Cricetulus griseus: one gene and its partner. The protein of the gene in region 1 interacts with the protein of each later gene in a biochemical or structural test. Links are inferred from orthologs where the notes say so. Each region holds a gene or a part of one and is shown in the gene's direction. Other genes may lie near its edges.

Region 1 (9,349 bases):
GTTTTTAATTTTTGTATCTATCTATACATATATATAATGTACAGTATATACATAGGATTATAACTACTTTGCTTTTAATAATTTTATGAAATGGCAAGGGTTTAGCTGAAAAGGAAACTTTGGCATGAATGTGGGTTTGGGATTATTTTTTTGTGTGAAAAAAAATCTGCCTTAAAAAATCAGTGTAATTTGGGGACTAGGGGCTTATTCTGGGTGCCATGTGTATCTCGTTATAGACAGCTAAAATGTGATTTTTTTTCCCCCAAGCTTGGTTGTACCTCCAGACCCATCACTGACCATTTGCCTTACCTGTCTTATAATTGGAAATATAGTAAAGATTATGGGAGGAGACCAGCTGACTACAAACTATTTGACTCAAAGTGACCTGAGGGGAGGTAGAGATGGCTTAGGCGGACTAATAGGGGACTCATTCCATTTCTACTAAACAGGTATCTGTGTCTCCAATTTTATTGTAACCATTGTTACCACAGAGTCATTGATACCACTGATAGCCTTAGTTATGTGATTCTTGGCAGCAGAGAAATAGCTTGGAGAGGCCAAAGCTGTTGGTGCCACCTTTGAGCCTACATTGGCTGGCCAAGAAGGCTTGGTCTATAAAAACCAAAGCTGGTATCTTTTGTTTTGTTGGTTGGCCACCAAATCCTGAGAGATTCTGCAGCTTCTTAGTTCAGCTCTGGTTCCCCTGATGGGCAGATTGTGCTCTGCATTCCTCACACATGTGGATCACAAAGGAACCCTCGGTTCTCAATGGGGTTATCTATGTGTGTATGTGAGCATATATTTTAATTATGTGTATTTAACTCTTTAGAATTTTTAGATTTTAATTTATCCTGTAAATTTCTGTATATATAATTTAATAACAAGCCTCCACCAGCAGTAGCATGTGGAGCATACAGACTTGTCATTTCTTCGTGTCTGTCTAAAAGCTCCAGGTCATCCATATGTTAAGGTGTTATGACTCAGAAAGGAGCTTCATGGCCCTCAATAATGTTAGCAAAGTGAAGTAGAAAGAAATGTCACAATTCCCAACTGCCCTTATTCCCAAAGACCTGCTTCCCCATTAAAAGATAGTTGAGCACTCCAGAGTTGTTTGGAAGCTTGGTGTGAGATTCCCTTCCCTGCCAAAACCATGCTGAGGTAACCATGCTTTCTCCCTCTGGCCTAAATGGGACAAGGCAGCATCACAGTAAGCTTTGGGGACCATGTAGTCAGCTGCCATCCTGTTTAATTCCTTCCCATATAGCCTCACTGTGTTTCATAGCTTAGCGCCTCACAGGCGTTCTGGACATCCAGTCTTTCTCAGTTCAGAGCAGTGTTGAGATGTATTCTGGGAAATGGAGAAAGAAACAGGAATATGTGGGAACTGAATCAAGAAGAACCAAAATTTAAATTTCAGCTAACAGGTCAGAATCTCATTTGAACCTGCAGAAGTTTCCTTTAAGAAACAGGGTGTGAAGGAGAGGCCAAGAAGGCACACATAGTGCAGGAAGCAGCCAGTCCTCTGTTGTCATTGCTACAGACAGCAGTGAACTCCTGGTGATAACCGGCTTTTTCGTGTTCATTTTCCTCTGAAACCTAGCCCTGTTGTATTTGTATTAAAGATTTGTACACATTTGTATAATAATCTGTAACTTGTGGTATTTGGTACTATTAGAAGAAAAACTTTGGATTCAGGCCTTCTTGCTGTTTTTATATCATTGTTTTATTTTGTTTTTTAAATAAATCCTAGTGGTTTGATCCAAATCTTACAGTTGTATAAAAAACAAAATTTTGTACTTATATTAAAGATCTCATTTTTAATATTTGTGGTAGCCTTAGCTGTCTTTTCCCTTGGGTTACTCATAGTTGCTATAAAATTATAAAACTGTTATTCACTCTGTTCTACTCTTAATTTTTCGATAAAAGAGGTCAGGAGCTGAAGAGATGGTTCAGTGGTTAAGAATACTGCCTGCTCTTGCAGAGGACCCAAGCTAAAGCCCAGCTCCAGAGGATCAGGCACCCTCTCGAGCCTCCTTAGGCATCAGCACACAAATACATACACACACACAGATACACACACATACACATAATTTATATTTAAAAAGTTTTAAGCCAAAACCTGGAATAAAGGTCAAGTTTTCATATTCTTACCCATCCTGGGTCTCAGGCTCCCAAGTATCATTTGCATATTGTAAAACTAGAGAACCTGATAAATTGTGGCTCTAATGCTTGGCCAGTGAAACCCTATACATTATGGTATTGGCTTAAATCAAGTATCCATCAGTATTTTGTCAGGGTTGCATGAAAATCCTGTGCTGAAAATATATAGTCCATGTCCCAGGAGCTTCCAGAGTCTTGTCTGAAGGGGAAAAAAAAAAAGACTCGCTGTCTCTGAGTCTATAGCCAGCTGGCCCAAAGTGAATGTTTGGTAATATTATGAACATTAAATATGTGGAAATTTGACCTTTCATGATTTAAAAAAAGTTAATAGAATACAACATGTTAAAAAGTATAAGTAGTGGGGGCTGGGGACCATTGGCTGTTCTTCCAGAGGTCTTGAGTTCAATTTTCAGCAACCACATGGTGACTCACAACCATCTGTCAAGATCTGGTGCCCTCTTCTGGCTTGCAGTCAGAACGCTGTATACATAATAAATAAATCTTTAAAAAAATTTAAGTAACAAAATAAAACTGGTGTTAAAGGCTGGGTTTTAATGATCACGACTGTAATTCCAACACTCAGGAGATCTGAATTTGAGACTAGCCTAGGGAGAGTATATATTAAAAAAAAAAAAAAAAAAGGCTGCAGAGTATGAGGAGTGAGATGGTTCACAGGTACTAGCTGCCATGTTTAGTCTGTGAGACCTACATAATGAGGATTGCTGCATGTTGTGATTTTTGACCTCTGTATTCACCATGACACACACACACTAAAGAGAATTAAAACATGTCTTATAAGGATAAGTCAAAGAAGAAATCACCGTCATTGAATGCCCATTACTGAACAATTTGCATGTCATCTTAATACTCTCAAAGCGTTATGGATAGTGTCCCCCTTTACCACTGAGGGAAACAGATGCAGAAAAAGCACTGTCCCCATTTGCCAAGTAGAACTGCCCTGGACATAGATGGAGTTCATTCGCTGCCTTAAGAGAGCACAAGTCCAGACCCTTGCCTCCTCTGGGCTACCCACAGGTGGCTCGTGGAGCAGGGAGACATCAAAAAGTCAAGGAGGCTGTTACTCTCAGGGCTACGTCCCCAGGACTAAAGGCTAAGACCCTGCTACCAGCCTGGGCTTGAGTTTGTGTAACTTGATCCAAGTCTTTCCCTGGCCAGAGACCCAGTTTCCGGATGTGAAGACTTCTAGGCCCCGCCGCAGAGTGAACTGAGGCCTTTCAGGGGCGTGGCCTGGAGGGCGGGGCCTCGGGGCTGTGCTCCAGAGCCGCCGCCCCGCGGGCCGGCCAGCGGGTCACGTGACGGGTCGGCGGCGCCGGCGGTTGCTGTCACCTGATTCTGGGAGCTGGTGGCAGCGGTAGCTGCGGCAATGGACTTTCTCCTGGGAAACCCGTTCAGCTCTCCGGTGGGACAACGCATCGGTGAGTCCCGGGAGCCGCGCGCAGCCGCGCCCCTGTCTAGCTCTGGCCGGGGACCTGTCGGAGTCCTTGGAGGAGGGAGGCAGACGGCGAGGCTGGCGCGGCGCTCTTGGCTCCGCCCCACCTGTGTTTCACCTGATTGACAAGATTGCGGACCAGTCAGAAGCCTCGTGTGGGGATTGATGCTGAGGGTGACCAATAGGCAGGGAGAGGAGGCGGATGTGGCTCAGCCAATGCGCGCGTGCTGGGGTCCGGAGTAGAAGGAGAAAGTTTAGGTTAAAGGGACTGCTGTGGTGAGCCGGTGTGGGGCCCCGCCGCCGCCAGGCTCGGGCAGGCCGAAGGTCCCTCCCGGGTTGGCCGCGCTCAGGTCATTCGCCGCGTCACCGGCCCCTCACATTCCGGGACTCCTGAGGTGTCTGGGCTCGGCCACGCCTCTGTCCCCGCTGTCGGGAGACTCGGGTTTGTGTGACGTCGCCTCGACCGTAGTTAAGGGACGGTGGCCCGGCCTTCCTGGGGTTGTTTGATCATTACATGCATTATTAAGCGCAAGGCACTGAGGATGCTGCCTGACACATGGCTAATGCTTGTCATTGTCACTGTGGTACCACCTTGTGGGGCTGGAGCCCGTGGGAAAGTGCCGGTTCCCAGTACCTACTCAGGTGGCGACATTTCTCCAGGGATGGGTGGTCTGGGTGTGACCCCTCTTCTTGTCTGAAGGGTCCCGACAGCATTGTGTAATTCTTTTTGGTGGCTTTTCTCCTTGGATCCAGACTGAACAGGCTGGATCTTTTAGTTAAGGCATTCTTTGCATTCTTCCTGCCAAGGCTTCCCCGAAGTCGTTAGCCCAGCTTTGTGTTGTAACCGCCACTGCTGTAAGTTTGGAGGTTCTCATCAGTTCTCTGCAGGGCATTGCTAGTGCCTGAAACCCAGGTGCTTCGCAAAAGCCCCATCTTTGAGTCCTCGTTTGTGACCTGGAAAGAGAAGACAACCCTCTTCACAAACTTCCTATGTAAAAACAAGCTAATTATTCCATTCTTCAAAGCCAACCACAAAGTCCTGAGACTTTCTGGATGTGCTTATTTAGGCTCAGTGTGCATATCAGTTGTTCAGAACTCAACACCTCTTCCTACCCTGAAAGGTTGCCTTCCTTGGGCAAGAAATACTTCTGGACAGACAGAATGGTGCTATATCAATACCTCAGTGCTAACTACATCTCACAACTGGACCCTCTGCCTTTTTTATGTCAGAATTGGCTGGACCCATCAGATTCAGACTGGCATCTGTGGAGTTCCCAGTAATGCTCTTTGCAATTGGCTAGGAGACCACAAATTTTACAGGTGTGAGCCACCAGAAGCGGTGGCTCACACCTGTAATCCTAGCACTTGGTAGACTAAGACAGGAGGATTGCCACCAAGTCTCAGGCTACCTGGACTACAAAATGAGTTTCAGGGCAGCATGGAGCTGCAGAATAAGACCCTGATTCAAAACAAAAAATACCAGTCTGCAAAGTCCTGTTACTGAAGGGAGGGGATTGAGTTCTACAAAGGGAAGGTGGTGAAGACTGAGACTCACCCAAAAACCCAGTGAATTGATAGCACAACTGAAATGAGCCTTCCAGGGCTACTAAAGAGGCTGTAAAAGAGCCCAGTGTGGTGGAGCATGCCTATAATTCCAGCCCTCAGGAGGCTGAAGTGGGACTATTTTCAGTTCAAGTCCAGCCTGGACTACATAGAGAGCCCTACCTTGAACAATATCAGTGTTCCATAGTCTTCCATGTATAGAGAGACAGAAGTACTGGAGATTGAAAGGGGTATGTATCTGTCTGTCTGAGATAGAGTCTCAGTTGTTGCCCAGGTTGGCCTGGAACTTATGGACCCAAGCAGTCCTCCCTGATCAGCTTCCAAGTATCAGAGACCTTGTCCCTATGCCAATGGGCCTGGCTGGCTGTGATGATCGATGGCCAGGTTTTAGGTGCTTGCATTCCTGTAATTCAGACCCTCCCCCCTCCCTTTGCTACAGGAGTAAAATGGTGTCTTCTCAGGTCTGGCTTCATGCCCTGAGAGTAGAATCTTGTATGATTGGCATACTAGAGAACAGCAATCACTAAATGGTGCTAATCAGGGCCCAGTGTCACTGTCCTCACAATTCATATACACCTGATGCTTGCTGGTCTCACTGCCTACAATGTCTGCTTCTGGGAGGAGCTGGGCTCATCCCTTAGAGCACTGGGCACCATCACCTCTTCCCTGCGGCCTTTCCTAACTCCAGCTCCAATTGCTGCTCTTTTGTTCTCTTGTCACTCTGCTTCCAGTAGGCACAAAACAGCTCTCACCTCAAGGGAAATCAGAGATAGTTTATCCCTGAGCCAAATATGAATTGCTGTGACCCAGGAACACAGATTCCTATCACCCCAAATAACATGATCCAGTATGGGAAATGGTTTCATGATGTTTTCGTAGCTACAGAAAACAAAAGTAAGCCAGAAATCAGGCAATTGGGATACAGCAAAGCACGAATATCTATGCTGCACTTCTCAGGTGCTAGCTGATGGCATTCCTAGCCCTTGGGTTGGTGGACACTAGTTTTCTATTAACTTATTCCAAAAGTGTTGCCTGATAGTCACAGACTTGTTAGATCACAACTCGGAGATGAGCAATACATGCTTAATAAAGGGTCTAAAGCAAGGTCATTTGTCTCAAGATCTGCAACATTTCCACTCTCCACAATCACAAAGTTGTTGTCAGTCAGCCTTCTAACATCTTCAACACAGAAGTAGCTTTTCTGAGAACTTCAGTTTGTATGCTTCGACTCTTCTGCTTGAGAGTGGTTGTAAAAAATGCCAATTCCCCGGAGAGTGCCTGCACAGCGAGAGGGTGTAGGGAATAGGGAACACCAGCGCCTGCTATCTCACCATCATTTACTGTTTCCACCTCCGTCACACAGATGTGCCACCATCCCTGCAAGTCTGCCCTCAGGCTAGGCTTGACTTGAGATCAGGAGCTATCCCTTCCTTTCCTGGTGCCTTAGCACCTAGCAGATTGTGAAAAAAGAAAAAAAGAAGGATGTAGCTGCTCCTAGGTGTGGTGGAGGAGAAAGTTTTTTATAGACTAAAGGGAGAACATAGTGAGTGAGCCATACCATGTGAGGAAATGGGGAGGGAAGAGGACACACACACACACACACACACACACACACACACACACACACACACACACACACATACACACACACACCAGAGGGTAGAGCTGTCCTTGGATTCCCAAAGCCTACCCATAGGCCCATGGACAGAAATCAGAAATGAATGGCCAGCATCAGGGCTCTGAGGTTCCTTTGGGGAAGATAGGCTAGAAACACACAGGCTAGGCCATGTTGTAGATGTTGGGCAGTCACTGTCTACTGCTGACTATCTTCTATCCCCATCTGTAATGAAACACAGAGGTGCCCCACTTCCTCCCTTCCCCAAAGACAGTTGAACAGCAGCTGAAACGTAATTGAAATGGGGAACAGTTCGTACTACAAGGCACAGAGGGGCAGTGTGGTGTTACAAAGTCAGTGCTGGGCTAAGCAGCCAACTCTGGACCTGTCAGAGGTGTGCCAGTTACCTTGTTCATAATGAGATCCCCTGCTACCTCTTGATGAAAGGTAAAGGTCAAAGGAGAAGTTGCCTTGGAGGACTCTTGCATTGGCTGTTAGGGTGGACTAGAGCAGGCTTACTCTGCAAAGGGCCACAAAGTCAGTCCTCAAGGCTTAGGAAGGCCATATGGTCTCTGTTAAATACTTCAACAAGGCCATTATTGCATAAGAGCAGCCAGAGACAATAGGTAAATACATGGGTGTGGCCATGCTCCAATAAAACTGTGGGCTGTAGAATTTGAGTTTATGTCATTTCCATGTGCCATTAAGTATTATTGTTGTCGGTGTGGTGTTGCATGCCTTTCATGCCGCACTCAGGAGGCAGAGGCAGACAAATCTCTGTGCGGTCCAGGCCAGCCTGTTCCATGGAGTGAGACTTAGTCTACATAGGGCTATGCCCTGGCTGGACAAATACTAGTAAAAGGCCAAGGTGACCTTGAATCAAAATACTAGCTCTGTGTCCTGGAGTAGGTTATTAACCTCACTATCTTCTGGTCCTTCATCTGTATAAGGAGGCTAATAATAGCACCTGTCAGGTGGGATTGCTGTGTCATGTGTGGCATTTGAAGCACTTGGACTGGTGCCTGCCAGGCAAGAGGAGTCCACAGCTGGGGACTCTCATTGGTGGTATCACTGTTCTGGGCATACTTGGTGACGGAGCTAAGGTAACAATGCAGGGCCCAGACTCCAGGGCGGCTTTTGTGTTAGTCCTTGTGTCCCTGTGATGTGAACAGTCACTGGCTGGGTGGCTGGGCGGCAGGGCATTCACAGCAGGTCAGGTTTCAGGCTGTAGGATGGAGCCAGCTCTCCTGGGGATAAAGCTCAGCCTGACTGTGTGGACTGAGCTGGTGAATAGGTTTTGTTCCTACATGGAGCTCTGAGAAATAAGAGTAAAGTTCTACATTTCTGCTCTTAAGGGGTGATGCTTGAGCAGCTAAACTAAAGTCCTCAATATAGAACTATCTTGGGGCTGTCACTTCAGAAGGAGGCTGGGGATTCAGGACACGTTAACGCTTACCCTCTGATGAAGGGAGGTCCAGTGCTCTCAACTGCCACATTCATCTACCACCTTTTAGTCTTTTGTATCTGCATGCCTCCTTTATTATTATTTTCATGATGTTTTCCTGTAATTGGCTCACTCACTCATTTAGCCCTATCCTTCACATTTATGTCCATGAAGTTATGACAGCAGCCACCTTTACTCACTGAGCCATCTCACCAGCCTGGTGAAGGTAAATTTTCAATGAGATTAATAATGAAATAATAGACCATGACAGGCACAGACTACCCTCTACAGTGTGGATGATCCTTACCCAATCAGTTGAAGACTTTCCTGGAAAAACTGACATCCCCAGAGCAAGGGAAACTGCCAGAAGACACATCTGTCACTGATTCTCATTTGGCTGGAGATTTTGGATCTGCTACGCCTCTATAATCATATGAATGCAAGCTAACATCAATGAGCCCACTGATATTTGTATGCTCTCTCACACTCTTCTACTCTTCCATTTCTCTTTTATTTTGTATGTGTGTGTTGCATGGTACATGCATGCACATGTGTGTGCAGTTTCTTGTGCATTTTTATGAATACATGTGGAAGTCAGACGTCAGTGTTGAGTGTCTTCCTCAACTGCTCTTCATCTTTTTTGAGAGTGGCTCTCACTGAAGCACACCAATTCAGCAAGACTACCTGTCCAGCAGCTCCTTGGTATCCTGTCTCTGCCTCCCCAGTGTTGCTATTGCAGGTACACACCACCCACCTGGCTTCTTACATGGTGCTGGGGACTGGAAACTGGGTCTAAATAAGAACAGCAAGCATGTAACCAACACAATTATCTCTCTAGCCTTTCTCATTCCTCTGAACTCTAACTGTTCCCAGCACCCTCTCCACCTCCTGTACCCAGTCTGTCTAAACGTCTTGCACAATCACGAGTGGGGTAGAGAATGTCACCCAGTACTCATTTCTTGCATGGTCTTACTCCCTCCTGTCTGAACAGTTTAGTAAATTCTCCTTTGTATAAACAAAAGTTTCTCAGCAAGGAATTCTTATTAGTTACATCAACTTGAAAAATGTGGCCTGAGGAAAGCAATACCCTCTGTGAGGTATTTTAAGGTTTCCCTTT
Region 2 (9,454 bases), about 92 Mb from region 1:
CATTCTGAGTTTTTTCACATTTCTACTGTATCTGGGTCTGCCTATGTTCTCTCTCTCTCTCCCTCCCTCTCTCCCTCCCTCCCTCCCTTCCTCCCTCCAAGTAGTATTTTCTACTCTCTAGTGTGCCCTGTAATCTTTATTGGAAAAGCTGACATGTTTTGTATTCAAAGGACCCATTGCCAAGAAGCCTGTCCTGCCAACCTCATCAGAGCTTCTTAGGTCCCCACATAACATCACCTTGTGTGGCATTGACAAATCTGAAATTGGGTGTCTCCCTTCTCCCGTGAGGGGAAAGGAGGCAGAGCAGGGTTTGCACACAGGTCAGTTGGAGTGGTGCCACCCTGGTTGGGTCAGTGCTAGTAAACTATTCTCTCTTGGGGACAGGCCTTAAGAAAAGCAGAACACGAGACACAATTCACAACAGGCTCTTTCCCTACTTACTGTGGATGATTAGGGAGGTGTTTCACAGCTCTTCCCTGGGAAAACCTGGTAAACTGCTTGATGGTGAGTCTCACAAAGCATGTAGCTTCATACCAGGTCCTCTTGGGAGCCTGAACCTCTTTTACTTCATCAATTAGGTGCCAGGTTCTCCTGTGGTTTCTGCTTTGCTGAGTTACAATTTTTGGGTTTTTTTTTTCTGTCTGTCTTTCTAGTTTATCTGCAGGGGGCATTTGCCCCATGCCCTCACTTCTCTGACAGATCCTTGGATAAGCTGATTTTTCTAGGTGTCTTATCAGCATATTACTTGTGTTGCTAGGACGGAGTGTCCCCATTAATTATTTTTTTTGAGCATGCCATCTGTTCCCTGCTGGGATCCCAACTAACACAGTAATTGGTAGCAGAAGTGGTCCCAGGAAACAGACTCTTGGAGTGGGATTCTAGTACAGAGTGATAAGCACATGGATATACTCCTTGCTGGGGGGAGTGAAACATTGGGAGGTGGCATCACATGGGGACAAACTATATGGGATTCTGCTTAGGCAAAAGACTAATAGATGGCATAGACACAGGCTAAACCACTTAGTTGATCTGACAAAAAATATCTAATTCAGGGTATGGGATACTCATTTCTGACTTTTTTGGAATCTGTACACACAGGACTAGGAAGCTCCAGCCTTGGGTATGGCCAAAGCCCTCTGGCTACTTCCAAGAGCACACCTGCAGCTGAGCAAAGTAAGGTCATGGCTTACTTGTGTGCAGGAGAACACTTGTCATGGAAACTGAAAAGAGGCTTTAAGAGGGCAGTTAGTGGGCTAATCAGATGTCTCAGCTGGTAAAGGTGCCTGCTGCCAAGCCTAACCTAACCTGAGTTTGATCGCTAAGACCATTGTAGTAGAAGGAGGGAACAAACTCCCACAAATTGTCTTCTGACACATGCACACATGCAGAGTGGCAAGCATATACTCGCAAACAGACAGACACTATTGTAAGACAGATTTCCCCTTGGGAGACACACACACACACACACACACACACACACACACACACACACACACACACACACACCTGCTTATACCTGTAAAAGAAACCATAACAGACCAAAGTGAAATTTGAACCAAAGTTCAATTTGGTGAACTGATGAGTTTTTATTGAGGTTTCTTTCAGCAATAAGGGTGATGAATTACTTACAAGGATCAAAGATGACTCAAAAGCCATTGTATCACTGAAAACCTCACCCCAACACAAAGGCTGCAATCCTGGAGCTCTCTAAATAACTTTCAGGTGGCTCAACAAGAGTCCTCTTATCTCTGCATTGCAGCTCAGCTGGCTAGGACCTCCTCTTCCAGAAGTAACTTACTCCTTCCCCTCCCCCTCTATGGACCCAGTGCATGTGCAGACACAAAATAAATAAAATATGACAAATAACAAAGATATGAAAAACTCTTTTATGCCAAAAGTAGTTATCCTAGTAAAAGTTCATTATTCCCCAAACTTCCCCTTTCCTCTCTGCATCTATTAGTCCATGGCATCAGAATGTGAAGTTGAGCTCCCCCAATGGAATAATCCCTATGTCAGGGATAAAAGACAGAAGGTTAAGTGTGCTCAATATCCGTGTTAGGGGTCTGGCACACTCTTTTTTGAAAAAAGAAATCACCTTGACAAATTCTTTCACTTTGTTTATGGGTTCCTTTGTGCAACATAAAGATTATTCTTTTCCCAATAAAGACAGTATCAGCACTTATGGGAGAGGGTTTGCAAAGTGGGATTTTCCTCTGGGTTGGATGCTATTAGGAATCAGAAGTAAGTCTAAATTAGACTTCTAGAAATTCTCATGTAAAAATAAGAATGAGGCAGACAGTGTTAGCACACGCCTTTAATCCCAGCACTCAGGAGGATCTCTGAGTTCAAGGCCAGCCTTGTCTATAGAATGAGTTTTAGGACAGTCAGAGCTACATAGAGAAACCCTGTCTTGAAAAAAAAAGAAACTATGATACTGAGGCTGGTCTGACTCCATGACTGTCAACACTAGTTGGGATGAAAGACCTGCTTATTTGGCTTGACGTGTGTCCTAGATTACTTTCTATTGCTGTGATAAACACTATGACAAAAGCAACCAAAGAAGGAAAGGATTTGTTTGGTTTATATGTCCCAATCATATTCCAATATTGAGGGAAGTCAAGTTAGGTACTGAAGCAGGGCAGGGACCTGAAGGCAGGAACTGAAGCAAAGGCCATGGAGGAACATTGCTTACCGGCTTGTTTTCCATGGATTGCTAAGTTTTCTTTCTTATCTAACCTAGGACTTATCCACAGTGGGCTGACCCATCCCATACACTATCAGTCATTAATCAAGAAAATGTTCCTCAGATTGGCCTGATGGAAGTATTTTCTCAGTTGAGGGGCTCCTCTTCCCATTATGACTTTAGCTTCTGTCAAGTTGACAAAAAATAGAAATAAAAAAGCACAGACAATATTGAGACCGATTATTCTCATGTTATTACCTCATGGTCAGAGTGGCCTTGCTCAGCTAACTTGCTCATGTTCAGCAGAATACCACATTGGGGACAGCAGGCTATGTGCCCTAAGCAACCCTATATTGTGTGGAACATTGGCTTTCAGGCTGTTCCCCAAGTGACTCCATTTACAATCAGCATTTGGCTCCATTTTGAGTGCAAATGGACAAGTGAATGCTTTACTTTTTGAGCACAGACAGCTGTATTGCTCCACCATCATGGACCCTAACCCTCTGAAACCATAAATCCAAAATTAATTCTCCCTTAAGTTGCCCTTGACTTATCATATCAGTAGAAAAGCACCACAAATCTAAGTCAAGAGTGAAGGCAGCAAGGGTGATAAATACAAGATGATGAAGACAGAGGTGTCTTTCATCTGTCTTCTGCTACTCATAACATCTCTCCACTGAGTGGAGAGTCAGTATTCACAACAGGTAGCTTTCAAGTTTCTGCAAAGTAACCTAGTCAAATTCTATCACAGCCCACATACACCAGAACTTCTGCTATCTACAGCAAATCTAGTAGAAACAAGGTTATGTACCATGTGACCACCACCAGAGAGCAAATGCTGTGATTCTGCTTTGACAGACTATGCCACTTGAACAGACTTTGGGGACTTACTGGGGAATTTTATGTGATAAAGTTTTTCCTCAGTAACAATTCTCCCTGGTTTTGTTGCTTGTTTTGTTTGTTTGTTTACCTCTTTAATATTGAGGGATTTGGGAATCCATTAAAGGGCATATGTGTGAACATCTCAAACCCAATCATTTTTAGCAGGTCTTAGTCACAAGAAGTTCCTAGTCTGCTGTCCAGATACAATCTTACACAACTTGCAGGATGCCCGGTGCATTTTTAGACACAATTCAGAGGTTTTGTCTATAACCAAGGGGAAAGGATTGTATAGGGATGTGAACCCCAGGAAGGGATCATGGGTCTCTTATAAATTGTCTGCCATATTGGGTGTCGAGTCTTATGTCCTGGTCTGCCTTAGCTTCATCAGCTGCAGACCAGTGAGAACTGGATAGACAGCTGCATCCAGGGACAGAGCCCAGATGCAGTCCCATGTGCTATCAAGGCAGAGACTGGTAATGGAGGTAGAAGATGAGGTCTTAGAGATGAAGGGAACACAATAGAACACAGTGTGAGTGAAGAAATGTACTAGGAGTACATTTGGTGCTGGGCAGTACCAAGTCTACTGCAGCACAAGCGAAAGAGATCTGCAGATCTGGGGCCACCACAGGATAAACTTAAAGGAACTACATTGAGTCTATCTGGCCAAAGGTCCTTCTGAAGAGAGCGCTCTGAAGAGGCAAGAGTGGGTGGCCTGGGTTTCCTAGGGACATCTCTTCCATTCATTTGGCAAATTCAAGGCTGGTGGAAGTGTTCCAGCCCACTCTTGCCTCTCCTTCAGCTTGGCTTCTTTTTTTAACATTTAAATATAAATGTTCTTCCTCCCACAGCATTTTGAAGTAATTCAAGGGCTTGAGGGTAACTGGTTTTACTGCCATCTGCTTTCTCCTCAAGCTGCCAAACATCAGTTTTCTCCTTTCTTCAAGCGGATCAGGCACCTTGCAGGTGGTGGTCTCCTAGCTATCTCCAGCCAGGTGACTGGACGTTGTGACGACTTGACGGAGTTGAGATAAACATCCATGTTTCGGGTGCCTGGTCCTGGGTCAACAGACTGGCTCACGCCGAGAAACACTCAGGTTTAGGCATGCGCAGACAGCCTGGCAGCCATTTTAAGGGCTTACCGTACTACAGGAGTGACCACCGCGCAGGCGTACACGGGAGACTTAACCCGCCCTCACCCCAGCCCTTTGCACGCATGCGCGGATTAGCCGGAAGGGGCGGGATTAGCCATTGCGAAGCGGCTGCGCCTTGGGAATGCCGGGGTGGGGCGGGGCGGGGTGACTGTCAGCTGACTGAGGCGCAGATTGCCTCGCGGGACAACGGTCGGCGACGCAGGTTGAGGTGGGGGCGGAAGAACTCTCCCGGCGGGTCTCTGTGCGGTCGGTGAGGCACAGGGTCGCCGTAACATCATGGCGACCACCGTCAGCACGCAGCGCGGGCCGGTGAGTCCACTGGGCGAGGGCCGGACTGGGGCAACGCAGCCTGAGATCGGGCTCCTCTTGTCAGCCCCTCGTGGGGCCCCTCGCGAGTTGCTCGGCCGTCCCGGAGCTGTGCGGGTCCCACCTTCGGGTACCCAAACGGAGTAGCGACTCTGGTCCTGAGGGTCTCGCGGGTGGAAGAAGGCAGAGCTTGATGGTTCTTTGGATGCCCACGGGCCCTGAAACCCCTGAATCCCTAGAGGGGCCCTGAATCCCTTAGTCCTCCACACAGAGGAACGTGACCCCATTGGTTCCCCATACTGAGAGGGACCCCGACTCCCCTTAGTTCCCCGGGTGGAAAAAGGGTCCCGAACCCCTTACTTCCCCAGATGTATACCAACCCCTTGGTCTCTCAGATGGACATGGGCCCTGACGCTTGGTTCCCCAAATGGAGAGTGGTCCTGACCCTGTTAATTTCCCAAACTGATAGTCTTGGCTCCCATGATCTCTCAGAGGAGTGGGGCCTGACACTCCTCTGATGTTTCAGAGATGGTGAAAGATCCCACTTTGTAATCAGCTCTTAGTTGTGTCAGTTTCTTCCTCTCCCTGCTCCTATAGAGAACAGGGTTGCTACCTCTTGAGCCCGGTTAGTGGCTACCTTTCCAAGTCTCAGTTGTTCATCTATAAATGAGGAGAAGGGAGCAGAAAACGTGGAAAACCAACAGTGATGGCTCCTAAGGGTTGTCTTGGGGTCCACAACACTACCTGTCTCTCCTACCTCTAGTGTGGATGTCCTCCCAGTAGTTCTCTGAGACTGATATGAGTTGGATGTTGTTAGCTAACAGTGGTTATGTGTGTAGAACACAGTTCTGATGGCTCCATTGTCTTTTCCCTGAAGTTATTGAAAGTGTCTGCAAAGCCTTTGGTTTCCCAGGTCCCTCACCCTGACAGCTTGGTGTTGACAGGTGTGTGTGTGTGTGTGTGTGTGTGTGTGTGTGTGTGTGTGTGTGTGTAACAGATAAATCATTGGGGTAGATGACTGATTTTCTGACTTTGAAGAAAGCCCCAGGCAGGGTGCTTTTTTGGAGGGCTTTAAAGCCAGACTTCCTGACCAGAGTTGGGGTTACCTTCATGTTCAGCAACCCTTCTTCATCCTCACTGTGTCTCACCAAACTACAGAAGATTGCTAGTGGCTGACAGAAGAGGAAGGGAGCCAGTACTTTGCTCTTTTCCTATCTCCTGCCAAGTGGACACAGGGCCAGGCAGAGTGGACCGTTCCTTACTGTGTGTCTGAGAGTGCCTTTACTTCTGTGGCTGGACTGCATTTGAATTCATCTGATGGTGAGCTTAATGTCCGTCATTAATTGAGTAAGAAGGTGTCCTCCCGTGTTGCTGAGGGAAACTCTGGTGCTGTGTGTATAGAGCTGGGGTAACCCACGCTGTGATGAGTAATTGGGAGTGTCGGGTGACATTCATACTAGCGCAATCTGTGGAGTCAAGTCCTGACGCTTGATCTTTCTACTTGCCCAGTGTTCTAGGGACCACAGAGTCTTATAAATAAACATAGACAGCTGAATGGTTTTTTAGGAGCACTCTTGATGACTTGTAATATTGTGTCTGGACTCTAAGAAATTGTCATCAGTGACAGATATCTTAGACTTTGCTTGGGATGTATTATTGGCCACAGTATTTAGAGCAATTGGACACTGAGTCAAAAGTGTGGAGCACAGGGACACAGCTATGCATGGTGACCCATATAAAGCCAGAAAATAACAGTCACCATCAGGTCTGTGCTCTTAATCATTGAAAACAGAAAGGTATGGACTTGGTGTGGGAGGAGTGAATGGGTTATGGCCAGGGTCTCTTAAAGACTAGAAGATCTTGAACTTGATCTGGTAAGTGCTGTTTCTTAGAGTGCATGCCTTTTACAGTTTTCAGCTTTTCACTGGCTGCTTCACCTAGAATGATCTACCTATATGCCTCTGGATTCATTAATATTTGCAAAGGTTTTTTTAGCCAGTTGTCAGGGTCTAGTAGAACTGTCAAGAGTGTGGTAGTTCTTCCCTACTATTCATGTCATACTCAGGGTTGTGGAGCTGTAAAGATAAACAGAAGTACACATTTGGTCAGTACTGGGTACTATTGGCAGCCTTCTTTTTGTAACCGCAGCAGGGGGTTAGGCTATGGTTCAGAGTCCCCTTCCCAGGAGCCTGGACTAGGCTTGGGCAGTTGTCTCTATAGCTGACCTTCACCTCTGATGAGTGGGGAAGGACTGACAGTGTCTTGGGAGGCTATAGAAGGCTGAGGACACTCTCATCTGGGCTAGGAGGGTTCTCTATTCTTGGTTGAGGGTTTGGGATGGGGCAAGTATGAGGAGGAGAGCCAGAACCCACATAATTGTGAAGGAATAAGTTTTTCCCTGGGACATTTGGTATTTTACGTTTTTTTTTTGTGTTTTGTTTTTTTTGTTTTGTTTTGTTTTGTTTTGTTTAATAGCCACTATAGGGCACTACAATCTTTCATAGCCATCTCACTTTTGAAAATACTGGTATTTTGAAATTACCCCTTTTGCTACCCAGTCTGCACACCTGCTCCTTTCCTACAGTAGTGGTTTTTTTTTTTTTTTTTTTTTTGCGGGGGGTGGGGTGGGGGGGTGGGGGGGTCCGAGACAGGGTTTCTCTGTAGCTTTAGAGCATGTCCTGGAACTCGATCTGTAGACCAAGCTGGCCTGGAACTCACAGAGATCTGCCTGCCCCTTCCTCCCGAGAGCTGGGATTAAAGGTGTGCACTACCAACACCCGGCCAGTGACTTTAAGGACCCTACTTCTTGTGGGGATGCATGCAGAAGGTCTTGCTGGCTGTAGGCTGCAGCAGATGTAGGGGTGGCATTTTGAAGGTCCTCCTTTATAGATGTGTTCTGTGGAGTCCAACAGGTGCTAACTTGTTCTTCTTGAGATGCTGGCTAACCAGAACTTTGCCAAAAGCTACTGGCTCTGGCTCTTCCCCTCCTCATTCTGTGGGTGGGCCTTAGTGTCCATGCTTGTCTGGAACCTCATCAGTACTGTTCTTCCCTGGTAATTGTGGTTGAGCCATTAAATTGATTAGAGATGACAAAAGATGATTTTTAAAAATTTTAACATTATTTTATGTTTAAGAATATTTTGTCTGTGTATATGTAAATATACCTTGTGCATTCTTGGTGCCCATGGAGGTCACCATCTGGTGACCATAGCCTAATGCAGGAATGTTAGACTTGTACCCAGGCATAGCCTTACCTTAGAATCCAGAGCAGGCATTCCCAGGGACCCAGGGACACAGGCCTAGTGGCCAGCTGTGGGCACAACCTCTTGCACAGGTTCTGCTCTGTGAGGTTGCATGGACACGGAGGCTGCTGACTCACACAGTTGGGTTGAAAACTATCAATATGCAGTAACACTCAGAAAGAAAGCCAATACATACCCTAAAGAAGTGAACTCTTTCCTCTTATTACTAGAAAGAAAGAAGCCTGTATCTTGCCTTACTTTAGAAACTGTTTAGGGACAACCCAGGTACCTCTGGCTGATGGGAAAAGCTTATCTTTAACAACAGACCCAATTACCAAGTGCAGAACATAGGATCAAATTAAAAAATCACCCTCTTGGGGCTGGAGATATGTTTTAATGGTTAAGCATAGTGGCTGCTCTTCCAAAGGACCCGGGTTTAATTCCCAGCACCCACATGGATTCTGAGGTGAGGCTATGCCTGGGTACAAGTCTAGCATTCCTGCATCGGGCTGTTGCCACCAGATGGTGACCTCCACTGGCCTCTTGCCTTTTACTTTGTATGATAGTACTTTTCCTTTTAGAAAGTATTTGACAGTTTTTTTCTTTCTTTCATTTATTTTTTGACTTTACATTTTATTAAATAGTTATGTTTTAGAGGGATCTACCCACAGCAGCATACAGCTGTATCCTTAAAAGTCAAAACTAAGAAGTACAAGTTTGTAGTGGAATCTGTTAGATAGATTTATTTTATATAGGACAAATGTATACATATATTTTTTTAACACTTTTAGGTGTTTATTTGTCCTACATGTTTCTATTATTGCTTTGATTCGCTAAGCATAGATTTTTTAAAAATTCAGTTCAGTAGTAAATTTTTCACAAGTTTGGTAAAGATATGGTGTGTTTCTTTTTTCTAGGGAGTTACCCCAGGAATTTCTACACACAGTATTGCAGACCTGAAGTTGGTTGCATCTCCGTTTCTTCCAGTCTATGCAAAGACCATAGCTGGTGGTGGGCAGGTGGCCACCTGGTGGTGTTGTGCATATGTGATGACTCTACTTTCCTATGTAGTCAATGCTTGTTCAGATCTGAGATGTGTCATTTCTTCCCAATCCTTTTTGTGTCTGTTGTCACGATCCCTTTACCTTTCTTTCAAGTAAGAATCTTTTAGATTCCTTCACTGTAGCTCC

Evidence for each region.
Region 2: the proteins of Tom1 (region 1) and Tollip form a complex in vitro, tested with the Homo sapiens proteins (3 studies listed by BioGRID and IntAct, with this or other methods). The link is inferred for Cricetulus griseus from reciprocal best matches to the Homo sapiens genes TOM1 and TOLLIP.

What each region holds. Positions count from the first base shown.
Region 1 is NC_048596.1:150,804,826-150,814,174, forward strand, and holds the start of Tom1 (target of Myb protein 1), read left to right. Parts: upstream 1-3,438; 5' UTR 3,439-3,544; coding exon 3,545-3,596; intron 3,597-9,349.
Region 2 is NC_048596.1:59,279,918-59,289,371, forward strand, and holds the start of Tollip (toll-interacting protein), read left to right. Parts: upstream 1-4,865; 5' UTR 4,866-4,992; coding exon 4,993-5,025; intron 5,026-9,454. UniProt on the Homo sapiens protein: Component of the signaling pathway of IL-1 and Toll-like receptors. Inhibits cell activation by microbial products. Recruits IRAK1 to the IL-1 receptor complex. Inhibits IRAK1 phosphorylation and kinase activity.